Nothobranchius furzeri: one gene and its partner. Each later gene encodes a partner of the first gene's protein in a complex. Links are inferred from orthologs where the notes say so. Each region holds a gene or a part of one and is shown in the gene's direction. Other genes may lie near its edges.

Region 1 (7,867 bases):
GCGTTGTTGAGACGTGGAAAAAGGTACAGATACATGTTTGAAATGTGCAGAATTCACATGTTTTACTTGTCATCTTGATCCACTGAGGCCTAGTCCACACGTAGCCGGGGTTTTTTAAACACGAATATCCGCCCCTCCAAAAACTTGCATCCACACCACCGCGTTTTAAAAACAAACTCTGTCCACACGTACCCGGATAAATACGTTGTTAAGGACATGCCAGACCTGTAGGCGGCAGTACTTACCCCGTTCTTAACCTCGTCCTTCGTCTGTGGTCTTCCGCAAGGAGCAGTAATTCCGCTTGCAAAAACAAACAAGCAGAAAGCGCTTGGACAATTGATGGATCGGGTAGTGACAGAGCACAGCTTTGAGGGCATCCATGATGCCGGCTAGTGTAAGCACAGTTCGCACACGTGATGTCAGCATTTTTTGTCGCGGAAAGTGACGTTGCGGACCTTAAAACTCCGGTTTTGTCTGTCCACACGCAGACACCCAAAACGGAGAAAACGCAGATCTTCACTTTGGCCGGAGTTTTTAAAAAGATCCGTTTTCGTGTGGATGACAGGCCAAAACGTAGAAAAATATCTACGTTTTGGCAGATCCCTGGCTACATGTGGACAGGGCCTGAGACTGCAGTCTTCCTAACGTTTTAACCCTCTGTCTTAATACCAGAACAAGCGAGTCAACATCAATAAAGATGAGCTGAAATCAACTTCCAAGGCCATAGAGACCGTTCACAACCTGTGCTGCAATGAGAACAAAGGAGCTACAGAACTGGTGGCTGAACTCAGCACCTTGTACCAGTGCATCAGGTCGGTCTAAAGGGAACACTGTTGAGTAAAGGATGATGGATTACAGCTTAGTGGCACTGTTGAAAGTAACGTATTGCAAAAGTAATGGCTTATAGGAATATGTTGCTTTTTTCAATAATACAATATCAGTAACTCAAGTTATATTAAGTGCTTTCAAAATGATTTGCATTGATATACGGATTAAAACATGCTAAAAGCTCTTCTAAAAATGCTACTGTTGTGAGTAGGGATGTTCAACATTATCGGTCACATATACATCAAACTCTTCAGCTATTCTCTCAAAATGTCAAAATATGACAGATCTGAGTAGGGGTAGACCGACATATCAGTTGGCTGATGTATCGAGCCGATGTTTACCGGTTTTTATACATCAGCATCGGCCGATATTTGTCCTTTAATAAAGCCAATTTAAAGTCAGGCACATCCTTGGGCAGCCTGGTGCTGTTGCAGGATTTAATTTAAATGTATTTTTACGTTCACTATTAACTTCTGCATAATAAATACTCTAAATTAACTTTATTTAGGTGTCTGACTTTAACACATATCAGTAATAGAAAAAAAATAACAGTCAACCTCTAGATCTGAAGATACTGTAGTTTTTTCTGTTTGTGGAGTAGTAGTTGGGATCTGCTGTCCTCACAGCACATGGCTACGCTACAGCAAACAAACAAAAACTAAAATCTTCACACAAAGTTTGCTTTTCTCTTCTGAACATCTTTATAAATGTTTTATCACCATAGCTTCAATATAATAACATAATAAGTAAGAGCACATTATTACTAACTAATGCACACTTCTTGGCGTCACACTTAGGGAGAATGAGATTCAGATGCAATATGTCACTTTTCCTATGAATAACTTAAATTGAAGTAGTTGTCATTTTGCACAGAAAATATTTAAAGTTTAATCATTGGAGATATGTGATGATGGCAACCTAAAATGTTTTATTTTTATTTATTTTTTTATGACAGAGGGACACAGCAAATATTGGTATCAGTGTCTGAAATTATGAGTTAGACCAGGGATTCCCAAAGTGTGGTGCGCGCACCCCCGGGGGTGCGCGAGCTGCCACTAGGGGGTGCGCAAGGTGAAAAGTGTAATGGCTGCGGAGCTCAGAGAAGTCTGTCAGATGTCACCTTTAACGTAGCCAGAAACTCATTTGTGGGTGGGCCAAAGAAATAGTAAGAGGGCACAATAAATTTAATTGAAAACAAGTATATTTTTGCGTGTGTGTCCTCCACATGTGCCCTAACTTCATAATAACAATGCGCCGAGCTTCAGCACTCTGGCCTGCGCACGCCGATATGTTCCGTATTTGATCATTTTTAACGGTGTTGGAGAAATCTGAAGGTGGCGAGTCATTCTGGCAGATTGTAATTAACACCCTGTCTCATGCAGGTGTTCTGACATTGTAAACCTCACACACAGAACATTGTGGATGTAACTAAATAAATCAAGAAATTATTCCCATCCAGGCTACTAAAAGCGCGCTGAAGATCTGAAGTTCAGAGTGTGTCTGTCAGATCAGATGCGTTCCAGCGGCTCTCGGGTGCACAAGTGAGCACATCTGGGCTGGGCAGAAGTTTAAATAGCACCAATAACGAGACGCAGTGACTTAAACTCTGCAAGTTGTGAAGCGCGTTCCATCCGCCAGCCGCATCACCAAGCGGAAAGTGAATGCGTCAAGCATAAACCAAGCTTCATGGAGCTGTGCCCTGCGCACGCACACACACACACACACACACACACACACACACACACACACACACACACACACACACACACACACAGAGATTCAATAAGCACGCACGCCGCGCAAACTCCGGCGCGCCGTCAGACTGAAGACAGAAATGAGCGCTGCCTCCTCTGTGATAAAAACTTTTAAGAGGTTTTATAACATTTTTCATTCAAGGTCAAATTAAGATATTAGCTTCTATTTTGGGATGACGTATTAAAGTCGGGTCCGCTCCAGCCAGTGACTCCGAACCTGAACTCATGCAGCATTTGTTATTCTGGTCCACGTGGCAGCGGATCGCAGATTCAGCCACACCATAAAACAGCAATAAGTCGGTCTGAGGTAAAAGTGAACATCATGGCTATATCTTGTCCCCTATTGACATTTGATTACGCACAAGTAGGTGACCAGCTCAGGTTTACGCAGAGCAGAAGGAAGGAGAGCGCTCTGGCCGCACAGGTTAAACGTTCCTACTTTAAGAAAACTGTTAAATTGCATTGTTTATGTGCTACCTGGGCACTCTAAATATTTATTTAAAATTAAATCAAAGGAAATTGTAATGGTATCGAATGCTTTTTAATTACTATTTAAAAACGAAAGTGATGGGGAAAAAGGTCGATCATATTTTTTTAACCCTGTCTGTTTAGCTTGACCTCTGATATATATATATATATATATATATATATATATATATATATATATATAGCCATGCCCTGATGTGGGGGCTGGGGGGGTGCGTCGACATGGTTGGGACATAGAAGGGGGTGCGCGGCTAAATAAGTTTGGGAACCGCTGAGTTAGACAATATCGGTTTTAAAGCCAATATCACGCATCCCTAATTGTGAGATAACTTATTGTTTATAGTGGGTTTCCAATGCCACCTGGCGAGCAAGAATAACAATGCAATGTGGATAAGCAGTTTATATAGTTAACCTGGTTGTACAAGTGGCGACCTAAAAAATGGTCACAAATATAAGTAGTTGCTCCTCTTTGTCTCAACCCTCCCACTGTCTTTATGGATGACCCCGCGAGGAAAGTTGACCATTGAGCAGGATTGATGGTTTATTCCTTGAGGTCCACGTGGCAGGAGTGAGGAGTGAGCACCACCTCACCCCTGCCACGTGGACCTCAAGGGATCAACCATCAATCCTGCTCAATGGTCAACTTTCCTCACGGGGCCACACCCATTAGGACAGTGGGAGGGTTAAAGCTGCAATGGCAAATTTGGAAAACAAAGGAGCTTAAAACATTTTAACAATGTTCTAATGTACTTTAGCTATAAATATACTTTGGAGATTAAAAAGAAAGAAAGAAACAAATTAAATTGGTCTCGCCAAACCGCCACACTTCCTTGGGCTCTCCATTCATTACACACTCACCTATTTAGCACTAGAACTCCACTGGTGTGAGAGGTTCTCCACTCAATAATATCAGAGAAGGAGAAACAGCCGGTTGTTAGGACAAACTACTAGAGTCCTAAAAAGAAAAACACCATTTGAAGTCACGGACAACAAAAGATGTTTGGACCTAGAAAACAGCGACTGGTGTTTAGTGCTATCTAGTTTGCTCCGGCATCGCGGGATTCCGGTTCCAGTAGAAACGTCTCAGGGAAGATACCCAAGGGGAGGGATTAGTGATTGATGACCGTGCAGATTAGCTATGAAGTATCTAGTTGGAGTTAAGCAGCTTTTATGAAAAAAGCTTTTATTGGACATGTTATTGTCATGTGTCTATGCCTATGTAAGTATGTCTGATCTCAGAATTGTGTGTACTGAAACTCTAATTTCCCTCTGGGATTAATAAAGTATCTTTTGAATTTGAATTGAATTTGAAGGCAGTTTGTGACGAGATGTGAGCAAAGTGCCCCTAGAAGTGCGGTTTAATTAGTAAATAATGTTATCTCTCACACATAAGACTCTTTAAACCAGTTTTCTTTTAATCAGTACTCCAATCATTTCAGGATATGTTAATAAGGACGTCTTCACTGGTCCCTGTTGATGTGTTCAGGTTTCCAGTGGTTGCCATGGGAGTTTTAAAGTGGGTGGACTGGACTGTATCAGAGCCACGCTACTTCCAGCTCCAAACGGACCATACTCCCGTTCATTTAGCTTTACTAGATGAGGTACGACAAGATTAGCGGGTGCATGCTATAGTTTCCTTCAATTTAAAGGTGGTGTGAAAATACCAAACATGATATTTCTTCTGCACAGATCTGCACGTGTCACCAGCTGCTACACTCGCAGGTCCTCCAGCTGCTCATCAAGCTCTTTGAGACGGAGCACTCTCAGCTGGACGTCATGGAGCAGGTGGGTTTCTGAGGCACCGTCACGCACAACGTTTCACCTGTCTGATAAAGTCTGAGTGATGCTTTGTTTCTACTGTAGCTGGAGCTGAAGAAGACGCTACTGGACAGAATGGTTCATCTCCTGAGTCGTGGTTACGTCCTTCCTGTCGTCAGTTACATTCGTAAATGTCTGGAGAAACTCAACACGGATATTTCCCTCATTAGATATTTTGTCACTGAGGTAAACGGCCAAGAACATACGCAGGTTGAATAAAATGTTAGTCTGCAGCCAGTCCCAGTGGATAAACACCAACCACACGTCTGTTAGATCACAACGCTAAGCTAGGTACTTAAGTTTGTTCTTTTTTTTCAACTGTGCTTTGCTTTAAACAAAGTTTATCTTTTTAAGGTGTTAGACGTGATCGCACCTCCTTACACTTCCGATTTTGTTCAACTCTTCTTGCCGATCTTGGAGAATGAAAGTATCGCAGGAACAATTCGCACCGAGGGAGAACACGACCCTGTGGCCGAGTTCATTGGTGAGTAAAAACATTTTAATAAACTTATTTACCCAGTCTAGGCTTTTCCTGGCTTTCCACCACATGTGTAATTGTCACATAACACGTGCGAAGCTTAATCTGCAGCTAATAACAGTCAACGCGTGCGTTTCCACTGGGTGTGCAGCGGCGCATCCCAGAAATTGCTAAATTTACTCCCCAGGTGCCTCATGTATCAACCGTACATAGGCACAGATCAACAGCATTTAAAATCTCTACAACTTGTTTGGTTCTTTTGCACTTCAGCAGACAAGTTTTTTTTTTTTCTCGGGTAGAACGCAGGGAATCCCCTCATGTGCTGAGGATGTAGCGTGACCAAACCTGGTTAATTAAATGTAAATGACTGAGAACAGACACGAGCACCTGGGTACGCACAGGTGGGACTTATCAGACGATTGTGGAGAAACATGCATACGAGAGGCCACGGCATGTTTCATAGATCAGGATTTTAACTGTTCGTACGCACATTCTAAATTTCACTCGTAGGAATTTAGGAGTTTCTATGAACGTTTGAATGAGGATCCAGGTCTGTTTTTATACACTTACCCTTTCAAAACATGTCAAGCTCTGCAGTAAAGATCTGACTAGAGAGGAAACCAAACACTGGTGAAATTTCAAAATAAAAGACTTTTACTTAACTAGTAGTGATGCGCCGGTATGAAATTTTTGGGCCGATATCCAATATTAAGATCACTGTTATGGCCGATAACCGATATTTGCCGAGATCGATTTACTGACATTAATGCTTCTAAAATCAGCAGATTTTGTATAGAATGAAAATTATTACAGTTTTTCTCTATTGGTTTGGCTCATTTCATGAAACAGAAATTACATTCTTAAAATAGCATGGACAAACCTCCAAACTTCATTTTATCAAATGGCAAATGCCTTAGTACATGTCTCAATTGTCTCAGTGCATCTTTGCAAATGATTAAGTACCTGTATCCTACAGTTAGCCCACATTTAGCACATTTTCCTAAATGAATAGATCTTGTAGATCTAAACTGATTAGTTGATTCTCAGTCCAATGATCATTCTCTCCAAAACATGTCAGCATGCACAACTGTAATGAAATAGATTAGTTATTTAATGAGCCGTAAGGCGTGGGATTCCATAGGAAATATGAAATCCACCTTACGGATCGATGGGTTATTTAAAGCAGAAGATTGGATCTTTTTATTGCAGGGATTAGATAACCGCTACGTAAGAGACAACAGAAGAGAGAGAGTCAAGTTTAAAAGTTAAGAATTTTATTACTAACTAATTAAACTAGACTGACTTTAAAACTAAATGTATGGTGTAACTAAAGTGGATGAGACGGTGGATGGATGACGTGTGATGTCAAATCAGAACCAACAAATCCGAAGAAGCGATTGTTCTGACGAGAAATGAAGGTGATGTTTTCGCATTAAGCTTTGGTTTGGAAGTTCAGAAACACATGAGACACCATCATGCCGGTCTACCTACCTTTCGTGGAAGTCCTCTGTAGATCAGGAATATCGAGGTCCAGTGGACCCTCTCTGGAACCGAGCCGGTAGGAAAAGCCGCGGTTCCGATCAGACCCTTCTTTGAGTTACTTCCGGGTACACGACAGGTTATTGGCGTCTGGTGAGACCCCCGGTCTGGATGGTTCAGCTTTTATTCTGAAAGGAACTGTTGTCGCTGTTGGAATAGCAACACATTTTTCAGCTTGTCGTTGTTCTTTCAGATGAAGAGTATAGATCAGGATTGGCCACTCGTCACTTTCTCTGGAACGCTTTGAACTGGCGTTAGAGCTGACGTTGCATAGTTTTATACTTCGGATGTTATGGTTTATTGTCGAATGAAAAATTACCAAACACCATCAGAACCACGCCTCCATCAGATCTGTAAGATTCTGATCGGATCAGTGAAAGGAATGTGTTATGTCTTTTAACGCTGCGTGAAATCAGTCCTGTTGGAACACTTAAAGTCACAGTACCTTTATGTTCTATAGGATTATAATAAAGTAATTAATATTTTGATTTCACAGATCGGTCACGTCTTATTTATTGACTAACACTTTGATGGATTAGCTTTAATAAAATAGAGTTCTTTGATTAATTAAAAGAAAAGAGTTCATTCTTCGTTCTTCTGTTGAGCTGAAAATAAGCAGGTTAGAAGGAATGCATGAGACCTTGAGACCAAATGTCATGCAGACTAGTCTTGAGCAAAGAAGGGAAAAACACTGTCATTCCATTCCATTACAACGACTGTCTGTTCAATTGTCATAATTGGTCAAGAACATGATACCATGAATACTATATATGGATTTCTTTGAATATTTGATACATTGATGACAGTCATTGACAGTCAGGTGATACTAGACCAGTGGTTCCCAAACTTATTTAGCCGCGCACCCCCTTCTATGTGTCGACCATGTCGACGCACCCCCCCCCCCCCCACACACACACACACATCACGGCATGGCTATATATATATATATATATATATATATAAT
Region 2 (8,107 bases), on another chromosome or scaffold:
CGACCTCCACCCCAGCCAGCAATGGGCCCCCAGCAGCTGCAACCGCCAGCCAGCCTGAGACGCCCACGCAGCCGCCCAGCACCCCTCAGACTGCCACCCCCGCCCCAGCACCCACACAGCCACAGCCTAAAAAGAACCTCTCACTCACGGTACAGTGGAGGGAGAGAGAGTCGTGTTGGTGATGGTTTTTAAACTTGTGGAAGTGACGTTTCTGTTTTCTGCTCTGCAGAGAGACCAGATGTACGCCGCCCAGGAGATGTTCAAAACGGCCAACAAGGTCACCAGACCAGAGAAGGCCCTTATTCTGGGGTTCATGGCTGGATCCAGAGGTGAGGTTAGATCTGAAGATTTCCCCCTTTCAGGAATGATGTATGATTGTTTGTTTTTTTTAGAAATCTGTAAAAGTTATGGTCTGACCTTGTACTGTGGTATAATGTAGCCAATACATCTTTATTTATTTATTGCTAACCTCGTCCCCCGTCCCATAGAGCCTAATGCAATTTGAATGGAGATCCGCTCAGCATTAGTCAATGTGCCAGACGCCCACTTACCTACAGATGAGCGGGCGTGTATGTGTGCAGAAGTACCTACAGGTGCTGGCCAGTAAATTAGAATATCATCAAAAGGTTGAAAATATTTCAGTAATTCCATTCAAAACGTGAAACTTGTACATTATATTCATGCAATGCACACAGACCAATGTATTTCCAATGTTCATTACATTTAAATTTGATATTCATAAGTGACAACTAATGAAAACTCCAAATTTGGTATCTCAAAAAATTAGAATATTCTGAAAAGGCTGAATATAGAAGACACCTGCTGCCACTCTAATCAGCTGATTTACTCAAAACACCTGCAAAGGCCTTTAAAAGGTCCCTCACTCTTGTTTTGAAGGCACCACAATCATGGGGAAGACTTCTGACTTAACAGCTGTCCAAAAGACAATCATTGACACCTTGCACAAGGAGGGCAAGACACAAAAGGTGATTGCTAAAGAAGCTGGCTGTTCGCAGAGCTCTGTGTCCAAGCACATTAACAGACAGGCGAAGGGACGGAAAAAATGTGGTAGAAAAAAGTGTACAAGCTCTAGGGATAACCGCACCCTGCAGAGAATTGTGACGACAAACCCATTCAAAAATGTGGGGGAGATCCACAAAGAGTGGACTGCAGCTGGAGTCAGCGCTTCAAGAACCACCACGAGGAGACTCATGAAAGACATGGGATTCAGGTGTCGCATTCCGTGTGTCAAGCCACTCTTGAACATGAAACAGCGCAAGAAGCGTCTCGCCTGGGCCAAGGACAAAAAGGACTGGACTGATGCTGAGTGGTCCAAAGTTATGTTTTCTGATGAAAGCAAGTTCTGCATTTCCTTTGGAAATCAAGGACCCAGAGTCTGGAGGAAGAGCGGAGAAGCACAGAATCCACGTTGCATGAGGTCCAGTGTAAAGTTTCCACCGTCAGTGATGGTGTGGGGTGCCATGTCATCTGCCGGTGTTGGCCCACTCTGTTTCCTGAGGTCCAGGGTCAATGCAGCCGTCTACCAGGAAGTTTTAGAGCACTTCATGCTTCCTGCTGCTGACCAACTTTATGGGGATGCAGACTTCACCTTTCAACAGGACTTGGCACCTGCACACAGTGCCAAAACCACCAGCACCTGGTTCAAGGACCATGGTATCCCTGTCCTTGATTGGCCAGCAAACTCGCCTGACCTTAACCCCATAGAAAATCTATGGGGTATTGTGAAGCGGAGGATGCAATACGCTAGACCCAACAATGCAGAGGAGCTGAAGACGACTATCAGAGAAACCTGGGCTCTCATAACACCTGAGCAGTGCCACAGACTGATCGAGTACATGCCACGCCGCATTACTGCAGTTATTGAGGCAAATGGAGCCCCGACTAAGTATTGAGTGCTATACATGCACATTCTTTTCATGTTCATTCTTTTCAGTTGGCCAACATTAGAGAAACAAACATTTTTTCATTGGCCTTTAGAATATTCTAATTTTCTGAGATACCAGATTTGATGTTTTCATTGGTTGTCACCTATAAATATCAAAATTAAACGTAATAAACATCGGAAATACATTGGTCTGTGTGCATTGCATGAATATAATGTACAAGTTTCACGTTTTGAATGGAATTACTGAAATATTTTCAACCTTTTGATGATATTCTAATTTACTGGCCAGCACCTGTAGACTGATGCAGAGATGGTGATGTTTCTTATGGACATAACAGAAAGTAGTACGCAGCAATTAGCCATCGTTATCGTGGATGGGTGTGTTTCCAGCAGGCACAAGGCATCGCATTTTGGACACGCCCCAGAATCGTAGCTTTGCGCGGCTCTACTAAACTTACGCTTTGAATTAGTGGTTGTGTCAACTAGTAGTCAACTAGTCGACCTCACTGCTCTGTAGTGACTTGTTATGCCTGTCATAGACTAGTCGCTGCCACGTGTTAATGACCGACAAGATGCAGTCCTTGGAAAAGACAGCAGGTGATGAGCCCCTGCGCGTCCGATACGACGCGCTGTGCCAGAGGGTCGGTATCTTACGCCCACCGTAAAACGGACATTTAACCAGATTGTGACCTTTACGCAATTTAACCTTCCCCTCACCCCCATCCTAACCTTAACCAGCTTGCGCATGCAAAGCTCTGATTGTTGATGCGCTCCAGACATCTGCGTCCTGAGCACGGCCACAGTAACATTATCAAATCAGGTGTCGCCACCTCAAAAACTAATTTAACACGCGATCGTTCATGTCGGCTCATTTCCTTTGATGTTTTCTGTCTTTTATTTGTGTCTGATGCGTTTCGCTACTGTGGAGCAGTCGACTTGATTTTCATTACTTGATGGTTGACTTAAAAAAAAAATTAAGTCATGCAGCCCCTACTTTGAATAAATTTTTGCACGTTAAGCTTCCAGAATCCACTCTGCCGTGGTGAGTGTGTCCAGTTTGGTGGCAGGAGAATCTTGTCTCTGCTTTTTGCGGATGAAGTGGTCCTCCTAGCTTCATCCAGCTCTGACCTTCAGCTCTTGCTGGGTAGGTTCACGGTTGAGTGTGAAGCGGCTGGGATGAGGATCAGCACCTCCAAATCTGAGACCATGGTTCTCGACCGGGAAAGGGTGGGTTGCCAACTCCGGGTCGAGAGAGAGGTCCTACCTCAAGTGGAGGAGTTTGAGTATCTCGGGGTCTTGTTCACGAGTGAGGGTAGGAGGGATCGGGAGATCGACAGGCGGATTGGTTCGGCGTCTGCAGTGATGCGGACGCTGAGCCGATCTGTCGTGGTGAAGAGGGAGCTGAGCCAGAAAGCCAGGCTCTCGATTTACCGGTCGATCTACGTCCCAATCCTCACCTATGGTCATGAGCTTTGGGTAATGACCGAAAGAACGAGATCGCGGATACAAGCGGCCGAAATGAGTTTCCTCCGTAGGGTGGCCGGGCTCAGCCTTAGAGATAGGGTGAGGAGCTCGGACATTCGGGAGGGACTCGGAGTAGAACCGCTGCTCCTCCGGATTGAAAGGAGCCAGTTGAGGTGGATTGGGCATCTGGTCAGGATGCCTCCTGGACGCCTCCCCGGGGAGGTGTTTCGGGCATGTCCTGCCGGCAGGAGGCCCCCGGGTCGACCCAGGACACGTTGGAGGGGTTACATCTCCAATCTGGTCCGGGAACGACGATGAAGCTTCCAGAATGTGTCAAGCTAAGTAGTTCAGATAGGACCAGACAGGAAGCCAAACACGAAAGCCGCGTAAAACATCCGGACACTTTCAAAATAAGTCACATGCAGATTTCTAGTTGCTTAACCAATAAAAGATGTGTGCCAACTGTGACCCCTCCGTAGCCGAGGTGAACGGAACAAAAAACGAACCAGACCTTTGGCTACATGCAGCCATCTTTCTGTTTGCTTATCACGTGATTTGTTGAAATCACGTGTGAGCTTGCAGTTCTCTGGTTGTTGCGATCTTCTGCGAGGAACGATTTTGATACCGTTTTGTGTGTAAAACGTGTATTAAATTACGCGCCGTTTACACATCCAGTGGAAAGCTGGGGTAAGTCTTTATATAAAATTATAATTCAGGAAATCAGAATCGGTGGGAAAAATCGGATTCAACCATTTAAAACAAAAAAATGTTACTTTGAAAATCTCTTTCTCGGGATGAATTTAAAATGGAAAAAACAATGGCTCAGTTTTCAAATCGACAAGCTTCTATATCAGTATTCTTTGTTTCACAGACAACAGCAGAAGTTGCACAATTTAAGGTAGATGGGGAATTTGTACACAATACCATGTAGCAGTTGGCTAACACAGACCATAGTTTTCATCTCGAGAGATAAAATGTCTGTAATTGCGGTTATGCTTTCAAATGAACAGCAAAGGGAGTGTAATGTGGCATTTAACCTGGTGGAAAAGGTACTGCTGCGCCACCTTAAAAAAAGACTGACCCTGCTCATATCAATTCAGCTAACCCAGCCAACACTAAAAGATGCACGTGTGTACAGACAGCAAAAATGCCAGGATAGCAGTGTTATCACACGGGATGAGCATCTGTGGTTGCAGATGTCTGGTTCTGCAGCCTCCTGCAGCTGTAATCACGGAAGTAGGGAGAGGGGCTTAAGGTGCAATTACATTATTTCTGCTTCTTGGTGGTGCCTTCTGAGAAAACAGCTTTTTCACTCAGTGTTACACGTGTCTGTAGCGGGAAATCAAGTGAACCTCCTTGTGTTTCCTGCAGAGAACCCATGCCCAGAGCAGGGCGACATCATCCAGATCAAGCTGAGCGAGCACACAGAGGTTCTGCCCAAGGCGGACGGCACCGGCAGCACCACCATGCTGGTGGACACAGTCTTCGAAATGAACTATTCAACAGGACAGTGGACTCGTCTGAAGAAATACAAACCTATCACAAACTCCTCCTGAGGAGCTTCGCCGGCTCAGTCCACCACCCAGAACATGTTTAGGCACACGTACGAGTATTCGCTGACATTTGGGCCAAATCCACTTCTGAGAGGCTGTCGAGGAGAGAAAGATTCTCCCTTTTACTACGCCACCAAAATGGAGAACTTATTTTTGTTTGTTTTTACTTGCCCTTTAATTGATTTTTTTTTTCCAATCATCTCATGAGTGAGCCGGCTCCAGGGGGTTGAGGGAGCAGAGAGAGTGTTTGTGCTGCTGAGGTAGCAAAGAGCAGCTGCGTGCATTTTTATGTCAAATGTTTTCAACCCAACAGCAGTGATGATATTCATCATTAGAGGCGACCAAAATGAAATAAAAGATCACTACATGGTCAGTGAGTCCACTTTTTATTAACTAAAATGAGTTTCAACATCAAACCGGTTATAAAACATTCATGATCATTTTTATCCTCGCTTTCAGCCACAGCTGTCCTGTTTTTGGCTCGGTGGATGTCTTAATTTAATCTTTTTAAGCGTTCTGGTCAGTTATTGTAAGTAAATGTGTGCTGCTCACATTTGATATCTAAATGATTCGACTGTAATCTGAGCAGAATATATATATTTTTGATGGTTAAATGAATAAAAAACCCAGGTGGAAACAAATGCTCAGCCTGAGCTGTAATCTGAGTGCAAAAATTCACAAATCTTGTGCTAAAGTGACACTTTCCACTTTTCCTTATCTGATGAAATATGAAATGAAAGATTCCTATTGGCGCAAAAATTTGCTCCACTTGAACATTCATTGCTCTGACAGGAATGCAGATCCTCTGTGATTGATATTATTTTGCTCCAGGGTCCCTCCATCCTCCAAACGTCTTCTCCAAGTAGCAAGCCACAGCGAGGGTCAGATGGTCCTGCAGCTTTCCAGAGACGACCTGCACCCCCAGAGGCAGGCCCTCCTCACCCAGACCCAGAGGACACTGGGTCACCGGTAGCCCCAGGATGTTCATGATACCTGATGGATGAGAGAACCAAGTTCGTGATCACTTTAATCTGCATCTTTTGCTAAATCTGGGTCACTAACCGGTGTAGGCGAAGTCAAAAGGTCTGAAGAGCGGGTTGTGGTGTTTGGGTGCCACTCTGGGGTGTGAGGGGTAAAGTAAAACACCGTCATGTGCGAGCAGCTTGTCGAGCTCCTCCTGCAGCTTTTCTTTTTGCTGGATGGCCAAGGATGTTGATTTAGACAAGCGCGTCTTTTCCATGAGGCCCACGGCTGAAGAGAAAACAAGTCAGTTCTCAGGTTAGCTACTGACAGCCACAGCTTGACATACATCTAAAAACTGAAGCACTAACAAATGTCAGACAATTGTTTTTCTTACTGATGGCGGCCATCGTATGGTCCGATTTTCCCATCATCCATTTCAGCAGCTCCCAGAACGGCCACTTTGGTCGACCAGGTTCCCCCATCAGCTCAGTGAAGGCCACAGGAGGCTGAAGGAGGAGACAAACATTTAGCATCCATTTATGAGTCCAAGCTTGTGGAAATCGTGATCATTTCTTCAATGTTCCAACACTTGTTTCACACCAAGAAGTCATTGCAAGGATGTGAAAATAATTTAAGGGATTAACCTACGGGCTTCAGAGTAAACAAGAGAGGGTGTCAAACTGAAGATAAAACCACACAGAGAGGCCTCGACTCTAGTTGGACAAATAAAGCAAATTGTTTAAATTAGAGGAACTTCTGTTGACAAGAAATGACGTGTTTTCAGAAGTGCTGGGCTTGCACGGGTTTGGTATGTGTGTGTGTGTGTGTGTTTTATTTGTGTGGTATAGAGGCTGGCAGCTAAGGAGATTAGGGGGATTTCTGGGCAGCAGACTACAATAAGGGCTGTGACTAAGAGACCTGCTTCCTGTTAGCCTTATTAACCGGAGAGGCAGTTAACCACCAACAAGCTGACCAACACACTCGCCAATTAATTTTTCAGTAAAGTCCATGATATCATCTCAGATTCTGGTTCTCTAATGGCAAGCTCTCAGAGCCTCTCCAGTCATGTTTCCTGAAGCAGCACTGGACAGAGACTGCTCTGGTAAAGGTCTACAATCATCTGATGGCTGCAGAAGCAGGAAGGCTCTATCGTGGTTCTGCTGGACCTCAATGAGACTTTGGACACAGTGGATCACAACATCCTATTGAACAGGCTACATTTTCTGGTTTCCATCTCTGGTTCTACATTAGACAGGCTCTCTGATTATCTTTCAAACTGAGGTTTCTCAGTGAAGGCTGAAACCATTTCCTCAGGGACTGTGGGGTCCCACAAGGCTCTGTTCTAGGACCTCCATTATTTTATTTCTATATTACCATGAAAATTAAACTAAATGATTTATACAGCATAAGCCATTTTTTCAAGACACACCATGCTGTAAAATTAGTGTAACATTACTACTACGGTGTGTCTTATAAACTCGCCATGCCGACATGGCGTTGCGTGAATTTTGCAGCATTCGTTATGTCTCGCTTGATGGTATTGCAGTAGACGTCTACGGTGATTGCGCCATGGCGCAACAGAGGGAGATGTTATGATTACGTGGGGATCACCGCCGTGAAATGCGGGGCACATGAGGGCTCCAAGGAAAGAGGCCACAGTGGGAAACACACTTGTGCAGGCAAGGGTACCGCCGTGACATGCAAGGCACAAGAGGTCCCCACAATGAAGGGCCACATATGCAGGCCAAAGCCTGTTGGGCCCCTACATGGCCCCAAATGATGGGGCCCGCATGTGCCCTACATTTCACGACAGCTGTGGGTCCTACTGTGGACAATCCTTTGTGGGCCTTGTTTTTGCCCAGAAAGATGCCACACGGGGGCCCTAACAGGCACGTTTGCTGGGCTTTAACTACCGTCATTCGTTATTTCTCAGACATCACTTCTAAGTTCATAATATTCAGCTGTACATGTGCTTCAGTATGGCCACCTCTGTCCTCTGATGTAGATCAGTAACTGATAGTCCAGCCACTTTCTTGTTCTGAATGCCAACAAGCCAAGCTTAGCCCACGAAACCTAGGAGTTATCTTTGATTTCAAGTTAAGATTCAATTCACGAGGTCCTGCCCCAAGTAGAGGAGTTTAAGTATCTCAGGGTCTTTGTTCACGAGTGAGGGAAAACTGGAGCGTGAGATCGATAGGTGGATTGGTGCTGCATCTGCAGT

Evidence for each region. Proteins that work in one complex are often made in the same cells at the same time.
Region 2: the proteins of nelfcd (region 1) and nelfa are in contact, whole or in part, in a crystal structure (PDB 5L3X), measured with the Homo sapiens proteins. The link is inferred for Nothobranchius furzeri from reciprocal best matches to the Homo sapiens genes NELFCD and NELFA. Residues at the interface, in XP_047296144.1 of Homo sapiens: Cys204, Gln205, Gln206, Leu207, Glu208, Phe210, Ser211, Leu214, Arg215, Leu218, Ala219, Ile221, Leu222, Asp223, Gly225, Glu226, Cys241, His242, Gly243, Glu244, His245, Thr246, Tyr247, Leu248, Phe249, Ala252, Met253, Ser255, Val256, Leu257; in NP_005654.4 of Homo sapiens: Leu23, Trp24, Ala25, Leu54, Leu58, Leu61, His62, Arg65, Pro88, Trp89, Met92, Val93, Ile96, Leu97, Phe100, Gly104, Ser105, Leu106, Leu108, Leu110, Asn116, Val117, Asp119, Ile120, Leu121, Glu123, Leu124, Arg125, Lys127, Val128.

What each region holds. Positions count from the first base shown.
Region 1 is NC_091743.1:48,864,030-48,871,896, reverse strand, and holds part of nelfcd (negative elongation factor C/D), read left to right. Parts: coding exon 1-23; intron 24-672; coding exon 673-812; intron 813-4,554; coding exon 4,555-4,669; intron 4,670-4,757; coding exon 4,758-4,853; intron 4,854-4,931; coding exon 4,932-5,072; intron 5,073-5,240; coding exon 5,241-5,370; intron 5,371-7,867. UniProt on the Homo sapiens protein: Essential component of the NELF complex, a complex that negatively regulates the elongation of transcription by RNA polymerase II.
Region 2 is NC_091742.1:60,234,987-60,243,093, reverse strand, and holds the end of nelfa (negative elongation factor A), read left to right. Parts: coding exon 1-149; intron 150-229; coding exon 230-329; intron 330-4,741; coding exon 4,742-4,926; 3' UTR 4,927-5,296; downstream 5,297-8,107. Other genes in the region: faah2b (fatty-acid amide hydrolase 2-B), read right to left, coding at 5,741-5,916, 5,986-6,174, 6,281-6,392. UniProt on the Homo sapiens protein: Essential component of the NELF complex, a complex that negatively regulates the elongation of transcription by RNA polymerase II.